Yarrowia lipolytica: one gene and its partners. The protein of the gene in region 2 interacts with the protein of the main gene of each other region in a biochemical or structural test. Links are inferred from orthologs where the notes say so. Each region holds a gene or a part of one and is shown on either strand. Other genes may lie near its edges.

Evidence for each region.
Region 1: of the proteins of YALI1_B14418g (region 2) and YALI1_C23359g, one has a biochemical effect on the other in vitro, tested with the Saccharomyces cerevisiae proteins (3 studies listed by BioGRID). The link is inferred for Yarrowia lipolytica from reciprocal best matches to the Saccharomyces cerevisiae genes CDC28 and BUD3.
Region 3: of the proteins of YALI1_B14418g (region 2) and YALI1_E39500t, one has a biochemical effect on the other in vitro, tested with the Saccharomyces cerevisiae proteins (2 studies listed by BioGRID). The link is inferred for Yarrowia lipolytica from reciprocal best matches to the Saccharomyces cerevisiae genes CDC28 and DNA2.

What each region holds. Positions count from the first base shown.
Region 1 is NC_090772.1:2,334,236-2,341,712, reverse strand, and holds YALI1_C23359g (uncharacterized protein), read right to left. Parts: upstream 5,722-7,477; coding exon 502-5,721; downstream 1-501. Other genes in the region: YALI1_C23415g (uncharacterized protein), read right to left, coding at 111-115.
Region 2 is NC_090771.1:1,440,369-1,444,094, forward strand, and holds YALI1_B14418g (uncharacterized protein), read right to left. Parts: upstream 1,891-3,726; coding exon 1,845-1,890; intron 1,450-1,844; coding exon 545-1,449; downstream 1-544. Other genes in the region: YALI1_B14441g (uncharacterized protein), read right to left, coding at 2,849-3,726. UniProt on the Saccharomyces cerevisiae protein: Cyclin-dependent kinase that acts as a master regulator of the mitotic and meiotic cell cycles. Required to drive the G1-S transition. More than 200 substrates have been identified. Substrate specificity is in part regulated by the bound cyclin protein.
Region 3 is NC_090774.1:3,948,395-3,954,758, reverse strand, and holds YALI1_E39500t (uncharacterized protein), read right to left. Parts: upstream 4,720-6,364; coding exon 2,441-4,719; intron 2,396-2,440; coding exon 502-2,395; downstream 1-501. Other genes in the region: YALI1_E39553g (uncharacterized protein), read left to right, coding at 1-371. UniProt on the Saccharomyces cerevisiae protein: Key enzyme involved in DNA replication and DNA repair.

The DNA of each region.
Region 1 (7,477 bases), on a different chromosome or scaffold from region 2:
CATGCCGCGAGCCATTGATGATCGCCAAATCGCGCCCTGTATTCTGGCCTAATGATTTTGATTTGACTTTCTCCCTCCCCTCTGAGTCCCCTCCATTATCTCATACTCACTTCATTCGGGGGTTGATTTGGTTGTGTTTTTTTGCAGATGTGGTGATGAGATCAGTGTACTGCAGCATCATGCATATCGCTTAATAATATCAGACCTTGTATTTTTTTTTCGGCATATGAGACCGTGGGTTCGATTTGTGGTGAGGCTCTTCAACAAATTAGTTGAGTGTCAGATTAACAATATAACGGACGTCCACATGGAGACGTTGCACCTGTCCTGTCGACCCCATGAGAAACACCAAGAACATTTGCAATACTTGTACATCTACTTGTGTTAAACTCGCCCACAGCAGTTTATCAACCAATTTATGCATTATTATCTATTGTGCTTGCACCGTTGAATTGTTACTCATAGTACGCGTATCGCCATTGCCATCTCCACAGTTTGGCCTTACTCGTATTCGTCCACCCACTCCTTCTTCACCCTCGTCTGTCCCTTTGCCGGACTTCGATCCCTCACATACTTGCCGAGAAACATAATGGACGAGTCTCGCAAATCAGGGTACAAAGCTCCTCCAGTCGACCCGCTCTCGATGGAAGAGGTGAAAGACTCCGACTGAGGGACCTGGGAGGTGTCAACGGGATTTCGAGAGTACACCCGGGCACTCTTGGACGTCCGTCGTGCATGGGCACTCTCCAAAGACTTGCCGTCTTCTTCACCAAGCGCAACCTTACCCTGCAAAATACCAGCAAGATAGGAAAAGGACGAAAACTCGTCTTCGGCCGGGTTCTCGGAAGAAATAGGAGGAAGAGGAGGAGGATACTTGAACTGCGCCATGGAGGAAGACTTCATGTGTCGCAATTGGCGCGCAGAGTCGTCACGCGACGTACCGGGAGGCAGAATGTCTCGTGATGAACCAGCCAGAAAGTCCCGGGATGAGTCAACCATGAAATCACGGGACTCGTCCGAGTCGCGCGACGCCAGATAGTTTCGAGCCGCCTGCAGGTCCGACGTCGAGTCGGCCATAAAGTCGCGTGACTGGTCGTAGTACTGCGATTGGTCACGCGATTGAGCCTGCGACGGATACACACGAGATTGGTCACGTGACTCGGCCATGAAGTCCCGGCTCTCATCAAACCGCCGGGAGTCCTCAAACCGACGCGAGTCATTAAAGTCGCTACCACGTGACGACGACTCTTCACTCGAGTGGAACGAGGAAAACTCGCTGACGTCATCAACGCAGTCGGGGTCAGCTGCTGAAGACCGATTGGTCTTGATGAAATCAAACAGCTTCACGTCGTTGCGGGAGTCACGTGACGCGTGGGAAACGCTGGCGTCACGTGATTCGCCGCAGTCCAGGCTCTCCAGCGAGCTCATGTTTCGTCCATGGCCCCCACCCATTAGCTCCGAGTCGTACGAGTCGTTCCAGGTGTGTCTTTGGTTGGCCACATTGTCTTCAGACTCCGATCCAGAGTACGTGTAGTAGTGGGAATGTGATGTGGGTAATTGATGGTTGGAGTCGAACACTGGATGGCTGGGTTCCTTCTTGATTGGTCGAATTGAGCCGCTAGAGGTGATTCCTGGCTGGCTGGCTGATGTGTCTACGCCAGAAGAGTCAGTAACGACAATGGATCCTGTACCAACTACACCAGAAGCAGCGGGGGCGCCAAACACCCCGAGAGCATCCACTGGGTTGGTGGTGTTGTATCCTGAGGAGTTGGTCGTAGTGTTGTTGAACACAGCTCGAGTACTGGCGTCAGGGTAGACACCAGAGGTGGTACCATTAGTGGTGTTGGCATACACTCCCGTGGGATCGTAGATACCTGAAGAGGTGGTGTTTGCAGCGACCGAACTGGAATTGTAGCCAGAGCTTGAGTTGAAAGCTGACGTATCGTTTCCAGAGTAAATGGCGGTAGCTGTGGAGGGGGTTCTATCAGCATTCGGGACTGGTAGGGGTCGAGACACGGATCGGACACCGGATGCTGCACGTAACTCAGCCGCCCTCGGGTCTCCAGTGACACCTTGAATGCCGGAGAAGTTTCGGGTAGCTTCTGAAACTGCTCCGTAATCAGATGACACTGCCCTGGTAGCGTCAGAAACGCCAGATACGGCTCTATCGGCCCCGTGCGCCCCTGATTCACCGCCATAAGTGGATTCCGAGTTCACTCTCGGGTTATCCACGTCTCCATACCCGATATCATCCACCTCAGCACCATCCTCATCGTCACTGTTGGTCTGAATTCCACGCCGGAGAGCCGCAAACGACTTCTTGCGACGAACAACCTTGGGAGTGACATCGGGGTCGTTCTCAAGCGTTGGCCGAGGAGTCTCCGCCGCTCCAAACTTCCCACCGTCCATCTCAGGAGTCTTGGCAGAAATACCAAGACCATGCATCTCGCCCGTAGGAGGCACCACGGGCACAGGAGGGGGCACGTTGATCTTTTGGGGTACGTCAGGCACTCTACCGCTCTCAACCACATCTTCATCTTCATCTTCCTCTCTCAAACTGGGTGATCGCAACTTGCCCTTGAGTTTCATCCACATGCTGTCTTTCCGGTTGAGCTCGGGATTGGGACTGTTCTTGGGTGACTTGCCGAGCAGCGACAACACCGACTTTTTTGATTTCAACGAGGGAGATGCCTTGGTAGGAGCCTTGGCAGAAGGCTTCGCACTGGGCTTCGCACTCTTGACATCCTTGGCAGGGACAGGCGGCTTCGCGTGCACTCCCTGGACGGGCTTGCTCACGCCCGTAACCACCAGCGCCGCATCGTCAATCATGCTTTTGCTCTGCACGGGTTTGGTAGGCTTTGTGTGGGCCTGGCGCGTCGCAAAATCCATCAGCTGCTGTGCCACCATTTCGTTTCCCTGCACAATGCTCTCGACCATCTCGGGGTTGGCCGGAGACAGATACAGCGTGTACAGATTGGAGACCTCGGTGTTGATGAAGTTGGCGAGCGAGTCCAGACTCACCTGGCGGTCGAGGGTGTAGGCAAACTTGGAGTGCAGCGTCACATGGGCACTCTCGTTGGACAGCAGCGAGATGGAAAAGGCTGCGTCCAGCTCGTGGCGCTTTGTAAGTTCACGTGCGAGCTGCTTGCCATCGGACCCGTCCATGTTCAGAAAGATGGCAATGGGAGACTTTCGTTGCTCAGACAGATAGCCCTGCATTTCATGCACCGTCATAAACAGATTCAGACCGTGAGTCTTCTGGTGGTGAAAGAGATGGAACGGTTGTGTCTTCGACATGATCTTCGCCTTAGTGCAGAGCTCTACAATCTTGGGTGCAACCGGAGTCTTGAGGGTGAACAGTAGTGTCGTGGTGGAGCTTCCAGAACCTCCAGTGGCGTTCTCCAGGCTGTTGGGGACAATACCTTCGTTGCCATATTCGGCTGTGTTGAACCCTCCGACTGCAAACAGCGACAGGTTGTGGCCAAAGTTGTATTCGGAAGCAAAAACGTGTGATATGGGTGCCCAGAACTTGACTCTGAGAGGCGGAATTTGTGGTACGGCAACCTCGTTGATCAGCGAATGCATTAGCATGTCGGCGATGGACACCGAGTGGAAAGAAACACCCGACGCGATTCTTTTCTGCGCCTGTGTCTGAATCGTCGACGAGTATGAGGGCTCGACTTCCAGCAGAAGAATGTGATCGGTGAAGATGATGAGAATTGAGTCTTTTGAGGACGAAGGAGAGGAACCATTGTGTTGTTGTGTGTTACGCGATTCGGTTCGCATTTCACGCGTCTCAAACACACTCGTGACGTCGAAAATGCTCACAACTCTTCGGTTTATCCACCCGTACTGTAGCTCTCTCGGCCAGCCGGAGGCAAACTCAACGAGAATCTTACCAGTTGGTGTAAAGACTCGCTTGTCGTAGACCACGTGGTTTTCCACCCGCGCAAAACTCTCAATTGTGTTGACAGCCGCATGGTAGTACATCATGGTCGCATCATGCTTGTCGCCCCAGTTGCTGAGCTTTACAATACGATCCAGCAGCAGCTTGATCTTGGTGAGGTTTTGAGAAGCGGCCAGAACTGACTGGATCCGCTGCTGGGAGTAGGGAACTGGAGGCACAAAGCCAGACTCGGCAATCAGCGCAGAGTAGTCGCCATAGAGATCGGAAAAAGACCTCAGTGCAGCCTCGTGGCGCATGCACGGCTTGTAAAAGTAAGGAAGAGTCATTCCTGTGGCTCTGACGATTTCCGACGAGCCAAACGGCGTCGCAGCCTTGAGCGCGGTCTGGAATAGGTTGTGAATTCGAGCAATCTCGTCAATGGTGGGTGGGAAGATGGAATTCAACTTTGTCATGTTTAGCGAGGGGATGGCGCCATTGATGACCTGGATTCGCAGCGGAATGAGATACGACTGCAAAAACGAGATAAGCGCGTCGCGGAAATTGTTCTGGATGGTGATGAGCTCATAGCACACGGACGTGAGTGTAGCCGAATCGGAAAAGTTGGACGATGTGGGACTTGGTTCGCGACCGTTCTCGTCGTCCTCCTGGTCGACATCACCGCCAGCACCGCGTCTGTCTGTATCTTCGTCTCTAGGGGGCTCGTAAACCTCCTCAACACCCTCGGGCGAGTACTCACTCAGTGGGTCAAACAGCTGCTCGAGCTGCTCGCCAAGCAGGTACACGAGCCGGTTGTTATCCTCAATAGTCTCGTCGCTGTCTTCGTAGACGATATCCACCGCACTGGAACGCACAAACTTGGGTTCGACAACACCAGATTCTAATACCAGCTTACCAATCTCCTCGGGACCATGTCCATCCCCCACAACAAGCTGAGAGGCCGTTTTTCCTGCACATGTCTCATCGTAATCGTAGAGGAAGGACGTTTGGAGAGCGTTTTTGGCGAGATATGTACGGATGTTCTTGTCCATGGTGACATAGGCACGCAGGAGGGCGATACCTAGAGCGCGTGACACAGCCGAGGACTTGTCCTCGAGGTTTTTGACTGCGCCGTAGTATCGGCTCTTGTGGCTGAGGGTCATGTCGACGAACCCGGAAGCTCCGTGGCGCGAGATGATGACGCAGGAATGTGATTTGTCCGTTTTGTAAACGATGCCGAGAATAGGGCCGAATAGCGGGTCCGTGCCGACCATATAGACGGCGGTCGAGATGACGGACGGGTTTGTGTAGAGCTTTGAGTCGCATAGCGAGTTGCAATCGATGATGATCACATCTGCCGACGGGGTTGAGATGGGAAGGGAGAGACCTGGGTTAGCAAAGAAAGGAAGCAGAAGAGCAGCACGCGGGAAGGTGAACAGATTTGGCAGGATAAACGAGTCGGCTGCAAGAGTTGGTAGTTGTCCATGACACGTTTGTAACCGTTCAGCGCCAAGTTTGTATAATAGAACCGTTGTAATTGGCAGCAAGTTCACACAGTTGGCATTGCCATGAGCCCGCTCTCGGGGCGCTTTGATGATTGACTGCTCTGACACAACCCAAAAGAGGTTCGCTTGATATGCTGAGACGGTGACAAGTAGGTCATGCGTGCGAGTGGTGGAACTGGCAGCATTCTGATCGCGTTGGTGGGAACACCGGTATTGTGAGATTGAGGAAGACATGTAGAGACTGCGGGTTTGATAACTGTGATTTTGCCGGTCGCACTGTTCCCAAGACACGGTCCTTTTGGTATCCCGTAGAAAAAGATGGAGCCAGGTCATCTTTCAGAAATTGTAGCATTACGATCCATAACTTGGATCCAGAGCAAGACATTGACACGGTAAGAACACGCCACTCCAGTAGCATACCACACAAAAGGAAGCCGTGCACAAACCATGGACCTTATTAAACTGCTCAACATGACGAACAATCGCTTGCCAACTCGTTCCATCTTCATCCCACACCCCACCGTCTCAAATCACCAAACCCACCTTATCAGGTCCCGCCAAACCCGACATGCCGCGGGCTTCACTCATTTCTCTTCTCTTGTGGTTACTCACTCTCCTCCTTCATCTTCTCCTGATTCATTATCGCAGTCTCGTCACTACTTTTAGGCGTGCTGGGTGAGACTGAAACTCGCAACTAGTTCGTGACGCGTCTACACTGCTGCATTGGGGTTAGGGTAGAGCCCGCCAAGCGTCGTAAATGCGTCGTAAATGCACTTTGGCGTACGCAGAACGTTGGTGGGACGCCCGCGGATGGAGGTTTTGTCACGTGATTACCCTGATAACGTGACCAAACCTCCCAAAAACCCCCGTAAACGCGGTTTTATCCCTTCATCCGCGCGTCCCTCAACGTGTTATTGACAAACTCTATTCTGAATTTTCGCCTAGAGCAGGGTTAAAGACAGACATTTGGCGTGGTCTAAACCTGTTATGTAAGCCGGTAGGGTAATACCTGACTAATACGTTGATGAGAAATCCTCATTAATGATTAGAGGAACCAGCTTTGTCGCAGATGGATGGACTTTGTAGATATTTATCCACTGATCGAGAGTCTCTCTGGTGAATGGGTGAATGAGCGAGCCCACACCTTTCTGGTGAGTAACTCGTCATGCTGGGTAGACAGGCCTGTACGGGGACGCCATCGGCAACACTTCGCGTTGGGGTCTGGTGCTGGAGCATTTGCCACGTAGAGCGGGCTTGTCTGGGGGTTGCCGATTTTCACATTAGTATGTAAGGAACTTCTCGGGTATGGTCTCCTCGGCAGGGAGAATCCCATCAGTAGCCACTGCCAGTGGGGTTGATGTGTTTCCAAGTCGTCATTCAGGAACGAGTCCAAGGTATGTGCCACCAGTATACGCTTCGCCAGCCCGTTCCAAGCCTTTATCTCGAATGTCCATCCTGCCATCAGTTACAAAAGGATGGGAAGGACATTCCCCCGTCAACAGTCGCCGCGTCTCTGGTATCTAGAGTGGTGAAACCGATTCATTCGAGGTGTAGATGTCGTTCTTCGTATTGTTGGAAACAAGTCCGCCAGACTGGGGGATCAAAGAAGGGTTCTCAGAGTCAAAGGTTTGGACCATACGGGTTTCAAGAAGACCCAGATGACGTTCCATGTGGTCTGCAAGGGGTCGGCGTTCCAGGAAACGCGCAAATGGAGACTGGCAAACTCGGCCTTCAAGGAGATCCCAGACTAGGTAGTGCTTGCCATATTGGACATGGCCACACAGATCCCTATAAGCGCCGTCTCTTGCAGCTTAGTCCCGCTGAACATCAGGGTGCACACATAACACACCGATCCGAAAGTCGGAAGACGTGAGAGGTTCGGATGCGGTGAAACGTGATCATTGGTATGCGTGGTCTCAACCTCAATTCCTTCAGCTTCAGCATATCTGCGCAGGACAGTAAATTCTCCTCCTTGATCGAGGAGAATTCCGCGAGGCCCGCCGGCGTCTCGAAAGCATGATAGCCCACTCGAGAAACTTGGTGACGTACTTGCTCGGCTCGGTCAAGTCAACCACTACCTGTGTACTGC
Region 2 (3,726 bases):
TATCTACCCATATCGTCCTACGTGTACAGGTATATTCACACTATCTTTACAAGTAGCTAGTAGAGCTGCAAACATGCCCTTCTCAATCTATAATTGCCCACCTCATCATGATCCTAAGAAGGGATGTCCCTCATACAATTTAACTGTAAAACAAATGCTCTTACGCACGGCTATGCTTCTTACTGTATATACAACTCACTCATACTCGCACGGCTGTATCCATAATAGAATACAAGCCTGTCAGCTCAGTCTCAAGGTACGATACTGTACTGTCCCATTGTAGCTTCTATACAAAAGTATCCAAGTAAAGACACGCGTCTGACACATGCACTAGTTGTACTCATGCTGTCGAGACACCATGGAGAATGGCTACCGTACAAGCTTGGCCAGTAATCGTATCGGCACCACTACAATCGACGATACAATTTGCAGTACATGCCATGCCTACACTCCACGCAACCACTAATATGCCATGTAATCATTATAGAATCCTTCTCAAGTGTAATATCAATCTCGTTCATAGACCTTTCTCCTCCGTCTCCAATTATGCTCTAGTGGACATCATGAGCCCCGGACCTGCAGCAGCGTTATATCCACTCTTCATGTTGGTTCCCACGTCAAAGTAGGCGTGGTCGGCAGCCCGCTTGGCCGAGATTCGGCATGCAGGATCGTATGCCAGCAGATGCTCCAGCAGATCGAGACCCTCGTGATCCAATGGAGTCACTGTTCGACCAATGTCTTTGCGGCTCCACTGGGGGAATGTGGGCTTGTAGTCGGGAAGAGCTGTCACGCCGGGCCAGGTCTCCTCGGTGGGGGTGCCCAGCAGTCTGAAAATCTTGAAGATCTCGTCAATCTCCGAGTCTCCGGGGAACAGGGGCTTTCGGGTCACCATCTCGGCAAAGATACAGCCAATGGACCACATGTCCACACCAGTGGAGTATTGTCGACCTCCCAGAAGAATCTCAGGAGCTCGGTACCAAAGTGTGACAACCTCGTGGGTATAGGTTCTGAGAGGCACACCAAAGGCCCGGGCCAGACCAAAGTCGGCCAGCTTGAGGTTACCCTCCCGGTCGATGAGCAGGTTCTGGGGCTTGAGATCCCGATGCAGGATTCTGTGTGCGTGGCAGTATCGGGTTCCCAAAATGAGCTGGTTCATGAACTTCTTGACCATGTCGGCGCCGAGACCTACGCCGGGCGAAATGCTCTCCATGTACTTTTTGAGATCCAGGTCGAGGAACTCAAACACCAGGTAGAGCTTGTGTGAGTCGGAGTGGACAATGTTGTAGAGCGACACAATGTTGTCGTTTCGCATTTCCTTGAGCAGTGAGATTTCTCGAATGGCTGTGGAAGGCACTCCCTCGTCCTCGGCTTCCAGTCGGATCTTCTTCAAGGCCACCAAACGGTTATTGTTGAGAGTATCTCGTGCCTTGTATACCACTCCGTATGTTCCTGAGTTAGTACGAATAGATGCGGTGCTGTGGATTTTTCAGAACTGCTCGTGTAGACACGCGCCGTAACGTGTCATGAAGTTCTTCCTTGTATCTCGTCATGTGTGGGTCTTGTAGAGCTCACAGGCGCTTTTGCGATGCTCGAGGTAACGGGATGATGTAGACCTACACGAATACACCGTACTGTCCCAGAGTCATATCAACGCTCAACACCATGTGCCACACAACTAAGGTCTTCATCATCACACCCAAGTTCCTCCACAGCCTCTTCACAAGTCAACAAACACTCCAACCACACATCATACTGACAGCAGTGGCCGTAAACAAACCGCTCCAGTTGTACATCTCTGCGATCCCAAACAAGCATGCAACCGCTCCCGATACCCAAATACTCACCCTCTCCCACTTTCTCCAGCTTCTGGTAATGATTTAAGTCGACCATGGGTATCTGATAATGCTGCGTCACTTAACAATTTGCCATGTTGCAAACGTTTTGGTTTTGATGCACCCATCCCTTGCCCGTTGCGGGGGCAACCACTCCTCCCAACCCAAACCCAAACACTCAATCGGACACGGTCTCCTCCCAATAGGGAACCCAGCAACAACGCGTCATGTAAAAAGCTTGGTGTCTCCCTCCCAACTGAACCACGCTAACGCTCAAAACGTGAGCTGCCACATGCGGCTGCTAATTACAGTATTATGACACGGCTGTCCTTAGGATAAAAGAAACCAAGCGTGCGAGTGTACAAGTCATACTACTTATACTTATACTGTTACAGCCGAGTAAATAAGTGTATCACGCGATACAATTACGCCTGCGTATGGTGTCATGTGACTGCAAAAATCACATGATGTTATCATCATATGACCACGCGTCCCTCTTCACCTGTTTTCTATTGTTTGGTCGTTTACTGCGCTGTTTCATGCATGCTATAGCGTGGGTCTGAGATGTCAACCGCGAGACAAGGCCGCCAACAGGCAGGCACATGTACAATACGGTAAAGAGACCTAAACGCAGACTCCTACTTGTAGTGTGGCCAAAGAAAAAGCACTGCGCCTGTCTTCTGAGATCAGCCTACTTACTTACCCCTTGATCTTCGTATTCAAAGAAGATGATCAAGATGATCTTCGCGTTTTTTTGACTTCCAGATCAAAGGTCCATGGAACAGGAAGCGCGACCTAGTAGACTGAGGACGTGAAAAAGCTGTGATACTGATGTTCTCGAAGACTCCCTACAAGTTTTGTGCTGATTATTATCAACAGCGAGTCCACTCTACTACTCGTGCGTTCTACGGTACGTACCTTACTACAAGGATGTACTGGTATATTACTCATCTAATTATACTGTACACTCCATAGATATCCACCTATTACTGATTAAATATTACATAACACCCAGACTAGTTCTTGTTGGCAGCGTTGGCTACAGGGATACCGACACCCAGACCAACGGCGAGAGCCACAATGATGAAACAAATGAGCAGACACCACCACTTCTTCTTTCGGTAGGCTCGGGCCTTGATGACGGCCTTGTTGGTGTGCCCGAGACCCTGCTCGATATCTGTCTGCACGCCCTGGGTCTGGTTGTCAATGTGCTGCACAGGGGCCTCCTGCTCGGCCACAAGCAACTCCATGTCGTGGAACAGCTGGGCCAGCTCCGACATGGTCTGCTCGATCTTCTGGATCTCCTTGTGTCGGTTCTGAACCTCGGAAAGGGCCGTCTGAGCCTGTCCTCGTCGGTTGGACGTCATCAATGCTTGGGAGAAAATCTGCTCGCCCTGGGCGTCGTCAATGGCGGAACGCACCTCGGCGTCAGTGGCCTCGGGGCGCACAATTCGGTATTGCCGCTCAGCCCGCTCTCGGTATCGCTGTCGGAACGTGGCCTCGACGGTCTGGTACCGCTGGATGGAGTTCATGAATTGCCGCTTGAGGTTCTCGGCCTGTGTCTTTTTGGTAGAGTCTCTGGTGGATCGCGATTGCAGGGACTTGATCCGGTCCTTGAGAGACTGCGACAGAGAGGAGGTCTCGTCAACCAGCGACTCAATCTGCTCCCGTGTGTAGGCTTCCTGCTCCTCGCTAATTTCGTTGAGCGACCGCTTGTGCAGCGACTCGATGCTGTCAATGTTCTGGTCGTATTGCAGAATGCTCTTCTTGATTTCATCTACCTCCTCGAAAAAGTCCATCATGTCGCCCTGGGGGGCATTTGTTCGGCCATATGCGGGGGGTTCGTTGGTGGAGGTGGGGTTGAAGGACGTCTTGGAGTCCATGCCGTAGGGGT
Region 3 (6,364 bases), on a different chromosome or scaffold from region 2:
AGGATCTCCCTTCTGACTTTGAGACCGACTCTGGAATCTCAGAAATCGACCCCGATAATGAGAAACAGATTGTTATCACTTTTGAGTCGGGCTCTGGAAGCCTTCCTCTCCATGTGGCCGCTATTCTCAAGACCCTGAAGACGCTTCCTAGGGTCAGGTGTGTTAATGATGACTCTGAAGCTGAGTGGCAGAAGATTGGAGAAAGGCTCGTCATCCAGACACCGCCCAAGAAGTGGAAGTTTGGCTACGGAGAAGCAGATATCCGAGATGCCAAGGAGCCGCAATTCTCGGATGGAGATCTGCTATCGCTAGAGTCATCAGACGCCTTCTCTTCAGATTGGAGTGCAGTAAGTGATGATAGCAAAGTGTAGTCTAACTAATTACGTAGTGAGTATAATCGTGAATGAAGACAGTGTTGATATATGTATTAGTTACAAGTAGCAGCAGCCAACCATAAGTAGACAAGTTGAGAATTAAATGAATGGAAATAATATATATTATCTAAAGACCCTCAAGAATGTTCTTCATGATAGGCCGGTTATCGATCAAGCGCTGGCTCAGGCCAACACGCTTTTGCTTCTTTCTAGGGGAAGTACCCTGTTTGACAATGCTGTACATCTTAGTACAGTCCTTTGGAAGCGAATACATCCATCCATTGTCATCGATCAGACGCAAGAACTCCTTGAGAAGATCAAACGACTCAAGGGTAGCTCGAGATCCAATGACAATGAGCTTGGATCGAGATCGCGTAAAGGCCACATTGAGCCGTCGCCAATCCTTGAGAAGATCACCGACTCGCTGCTCGTTGTTTGACCGCACGAGAGACACCACAATGCAGTCCTTGTCTCGGCCCTGGAACTTGTCTGCGGTCATAACTTCGATGCCACTTCGCAGGGCAAGCTCCTTGTTGATAAGTTTCAGCTGAGCTCTGTACTGCGAGATGCATCCAATCTGTGAGTCTTCAACGCCACACAGACAAAGAGCCTCCACAATCTGGCCCACTATGACAGCTTCAGTGGGGTTATGGATTCTATCGCCGGCAATAGTTTCCTGCGCAGGAACAAGATCCGTGTTGAGGAAGATAACCTTCCGCTTGGGATCCAGAACATGACCTAGATAGTCGCCATTGGGGAGTCCATCGGCGTACAAAGTACGCAGTTTGGAGAGCTGAGGAACAGCCAAAGATTGGTTGGCCACCTCGTCACTACCACACTTCAGCTTGCCATCATAGATCAGAGTGTTGGACAGCAACATGATATCAGCACACATTCGGTACTGAATACCCAGATTAACTACCTGGGTGGGATGTGCGTCACATAGCATCTTGAAAAGAGACTCTCGCAGTCCAGCAGCTTCCGGATTCTTGACAATGGGCGTCAGCTGGTAATGATCTCCAACAAGAACGAACTTGTCTGCATAGCGGATTGGACCGAGGCAGAAAGGAAGGGTGATTTGGGAGGCCTCATCAACAATGCAGTAATCGAAATGACGCTCCTGAAGAACCCAGTCTCCAATACCCAAGGCAGTTGCACCAACAACTGGAGGAGCAAGAAAAAGCTTCTCGAACTCTTCTCGGGTCTCGTAGTTCCGTCGGTTGTTGGCTGCGTAATGCTCCGCAACCTCAGGGTGAATTTTGGAGGTGCTTCCCAATCTCAGCATGTCGAAGTTACATGAAGGGTGCTGCATCAGCTTCAACAAAATGTTGTCGACAGCAGAATGAGTGAAACTACTCAGGAGAACAGTCTTTCCGTTCTTGACCAGCTCCATGATAATCTCAGCAATGGTGGTGGTCTTACCGGTTCCAGGCATTCCTAGTAGAAGACTGTAATCCTTTGAGTTCAGGATGTGGTGGACAGCCCTAGTCTGGTCGGAATTGAGTCGACCGAGTTTGACAGTGGGCTCTCCAGCAACAGGCTGAGGGGGTGCCAAATCAACAATCCATGAACGCAGTTGCTCGATCTTCTGGGGGCTCTCATCGGTACCGAGATGCTTGGCAAACAGAGAAAACAGGTTGTTACGGGCAACTCCCAGGCCAAAAGCGAAGTCGTCACGATCAACCCGAAACCTAAAATCTATGGGGGCTTCATGGCTCTGAGAACTGTGGGTCAGCATGCTCTGGAAAACCTGGTTGTCGTTGGATCTGAAACCCTGGAGTTTCTGCAGAGAGAACTCAAGTCGACGATCAAGAGCACATCGCACAGTCTCTGAAGACGAGCCAAGCAGAGTACCCATAGCCAAACAGTAATGACCAGCCTCATCAGAAATGACTACTCGGTCACCCGGCGAAATGTTGACAGATGCATAGGGGATCTCGCTTCCATCAGGAGACTTGAACGTGTACCACAATGAATTGGCATTCTTCTCCACGTTGTCAATAATAAGGCTTGAGAAACATCTCTGTTAGTAAAATTAAAGGCAGCATAATCTCATCAATACTCACCTCCCTTCCCTTTCTCTATCCTTGGACAGCATGGTCCACACCTCTCGTTTGAGCACTGCAGTATCACTTCCTTCCTTGGCCAGCAAGGCATCCCAGTGGTTAAAGAATTGAGAGTCCTTCTCAGTCACATGTTCGGTCTCCTGCAAGAATCTGGCCTTGTTGGCGGTCGCTCCACCATCTTCACCCATATACTCCTTCAAATACGTATCGTAGAGTCGGTAATAGACCATACATTCCGACTTCTGGAAACACCGGTCACACTGGCCTTGATCGTAGATAACGTCAGGCATGTCTCGAGACCCTTGTCGCATGAAGCTAGCAACCTCGTTTCGAATAGCAAGCAGGTTATGAATTTCGTCCTTGACAGCTGGAATGACAAGGGTCTCAGAGGTGGCAGAGTAATACAAAACTCCAAAGTTGATGGGACAAGTGTACCGATCATGCAACATGAGAGTGTACAGCGCCGTTTGCGACCGGTGGGGAATATGAGTTGTAGATTTTCCCGTCTTGACTTCCAGAGGAACCAAGTATCGGTGGTTTCCCTCCCGGACTTCAATGGTGGCATCGATCTTACCCTTGATTCCGTATCGCGGAGACCAGATCTCTTCTTCAACATCGACAACTTTGGTGATAGCAAGAGTTCTCTTCTTACCTGTTCGATTCTCAATCGCCACTGCAGAGGGAGTCTGACGCATATACTCTCTAAACCACTCCACAATGTTCGGTAGTCGGTCCTTGATTTTGGCAAACACAGAGTCAAAACTCTCACCAGAGAGCATGATGCCATCCATGTTTGCTTTGGTAACGGTCTCAGCACATGACTCCACAAACTCGGCGTCGTATCTCACAGCTCCAAAGCACATCTGGATGGTCTCGTGGATAATGACACCCAAGAGTGCAAAAATAGACCCGATTCCTCTCGGTCCCTGCATTTTGTCTTTCAGAACCACGTTTCGAGTGCACTGGTGGGCCTCAGCAACGGCTGTACAGGTCACCAGAGTGTCAGGATTCAGAATAAAAAGCATATCGCCCTTCATGTCGTCCACAATGTAGTCGAAATCCATCTCGAAATCGAGATCCATGTCGTCATTTGATGACTCATCGATCAAATGACAAATGTCTCCCACACAAGGTATTGCTCGCATCCAGCAACCTCGCAAAGCAACACGGTGTTGCTGGGCCTTGCTGTCCTCCACAACTAGAGCGATCTGAGTCGAACTTTCCTCCACTTCGACGATTCTGAACCGCAGAACATCGTCTCGTTTGTAGTCAATCTCCACGGGTAAGGCGTTTTCCTTGTGAGTTCGTTGAGACATAACATGGTCAGTGACGAGCTTATATCTCGATGTCTGAAGGCGCGGCTTCTTCTTGGCCCGAACCTGTGTGAATTCGAGTTCCAAATCACTATCAAAGTCTTCGTCCTCCAGGTCGTCAATGAATGACTTGACATCAACCTTCTTGACTTCAGTCAGGGGCCTAATATTAGACCCCATTGATGCTTTTGAAAGCTTAATGGGAGACCCACGCGTTTTTTTTAGGTCCTCAATGTCCTTCAAAACGTGGATATCAGTTTCCTTTTTAATGGTAGGTTGTGTTAACTTGACTTCCTTCTTTTTCTGGGTATGTTGGGTCAATGCAAAATCAATATCGTCGTCATCCAAGTCATCAAGGATATCAAGCTGACTACTCAAACCCTCGATGCTGGTGGTTATGGAAGGCTTCTCAGCTGTGGCCTTTGGCGGTGAAGATGACAACTTGTAAGACTCTTCTGGCTTTGGAGCGGGTGGACCTCTTGTTGGTGTAGTCTCTTCAAAGCGTCCGCTAATGTCCCTTCCCTTGGGCGTAGAGCACACCGCCTCCACGAACGGATCGTCTGCAATGACTGTCGTGTTGAGATCCAGGTTGTTGGTGAAGTTGCTTGTGGCGTTGGCATCTGAACCAGCCGAAGAAGCCTTTACCGTTGTGGAATTTGCCGCTGAGCTGGCGGCAGAGTTGTTGAATGATTCGGGTCGGTAGCGTCTCAGAAGGATTTCGGTTGGATCAAGGACCACTGGAATCGGAGGCTCGTCGCTCTGGTCAGGGATCACAATGTTCCTGTCTAGCGGGGAGAGAATGCAAGAAATGTGGCCATCACTGGACTCGTACTGTTCCGAACTGGGGATGTTTTCCCTTGGCCTTATGGGTGTGGCTGCCGACCAGTCGGAGGACGGGTCTTCGTCCTCTTCAGCAGCCGGTGACGGATCATCTTGGGGCACAGACCCCAGAAAATATCTCGACATGTTGTTTGGTGGCGTGGATCAGATCAATGTTGTGAGGTGTGTATGTTTTTCAATTTGTGTGTCACTGCGTGTCTGACGCGTCACGTCGACACGGTTAAGGTGGCGTTGCTTCAGATCTGGTGGGTTTCACAGAAGTCACCGTGAGAACATATGGGATCTGGAAGATGGAGAGATCCCTCCGGTACTCAGGGGACGACGCCACCCTGGGACATGTCCAACAGGGTTTGCTTCAATTCCTGAAGGAAGCCCAGATGTGTTTCTACGATGGACAACCGCCAGCACTTCACGATGAGCGAGAGTAGACACAGTAGCAAGCGTAAAAGGCGGCCGAGGCCACCGAGAGAACAGCGTAGCAGGGCGCGTAGTCACCACAGGGGACGCAGAACCAAACCAATGACGAAGAAGAACCACAAGGAGACATTTTCAAAGGCAATGCAAACGAAGAGGGCAATGGAAGGATTGAGATTAGAGAACTGGAGACTGGAGTGGCGTTTTCCCGATGAACGAACAAACACGCGAAGCTATGTGGACCAACATACAACACGGACTGAACCAGGTTTTTTTATGATTTTTTTACTGGAAATAGGTACGTGCCAAGTTGGACCATGACACTAAACGTGTTTAATTAGTAATATTCGTGTAAGCGTACATTCATTTCAAAGGTTATTCTTTCACAGCAAAGTTATAATTAAATGAATGTATATGCAGAAAAAAAAAAAAAACACAGTGACACGTGCAGTAAGATAGCAAGTGTAAGGAAAGTACTGTAAGTGATAAGATAGGGTGTCTATATATATATAGATATTGTACTAAATGCAATAAAGGTGTAAAATGCGATATTTGCACTCGGGATCGTGTTTGAGAGATCCGTGCTAACCCTAACCACATGAGTGGTATTACGCGTCTAAATTTGAAATTTGGTGAACATTGATGCTGTAGAGAAACAGAAGTCAAGTACAGTATGTATGAGCACAAGATTGTTAATGTGTAGGGTGTTTTCACATCGGGTATCAACTAAACTCAACTAAAGTCATATGGAAATAAACGGAATCATAAAAAAAACGAAAGAAATCTGCTACACTCGATACAGCAGTAATAATAAACGCACTTAGGAAGTTTCAAATGGTGAACACGTTAATGAATGACTTTCTCGTTACGTATCTGGAACATGGGATTGCTGTCCCTATTTTAATGATACAGTACATGGTCTAATTATCTTTAACAAAAGCTACTTGTATCTGGAAGGGATTTGTCTCTCTCTGTTTCCAAACAAAACTTGTAGATGGAAGCACTTCAGTTGAAGTTCAATGATGTTTTTCAACCTCTCTTTGACGAGCAAGAAATGACATTCTTAAGGTATTTTTCTTCGGCGAACTGACAGAATGTATTAAAAAAAAAGAGAATTATAATGTATATTTGTTGTTTCAAAACCCATTCCATCTCAATAGACCTGTCTCAACTGCCTCTACCGTACAGTACTTGTAGTGGCAGTGCGGGCCGTGATGCAACATGCACAGGTTGCTTCCTTACCCGCAAACGGGTTTCTAGAGGAGCCAAATAATATGACCAAGACATTCCAAGACAGGGGTCCAGGTGAGACAAATCCGCACTTGGACAAACATGTGAGATTGGTTCATTCTTGGCT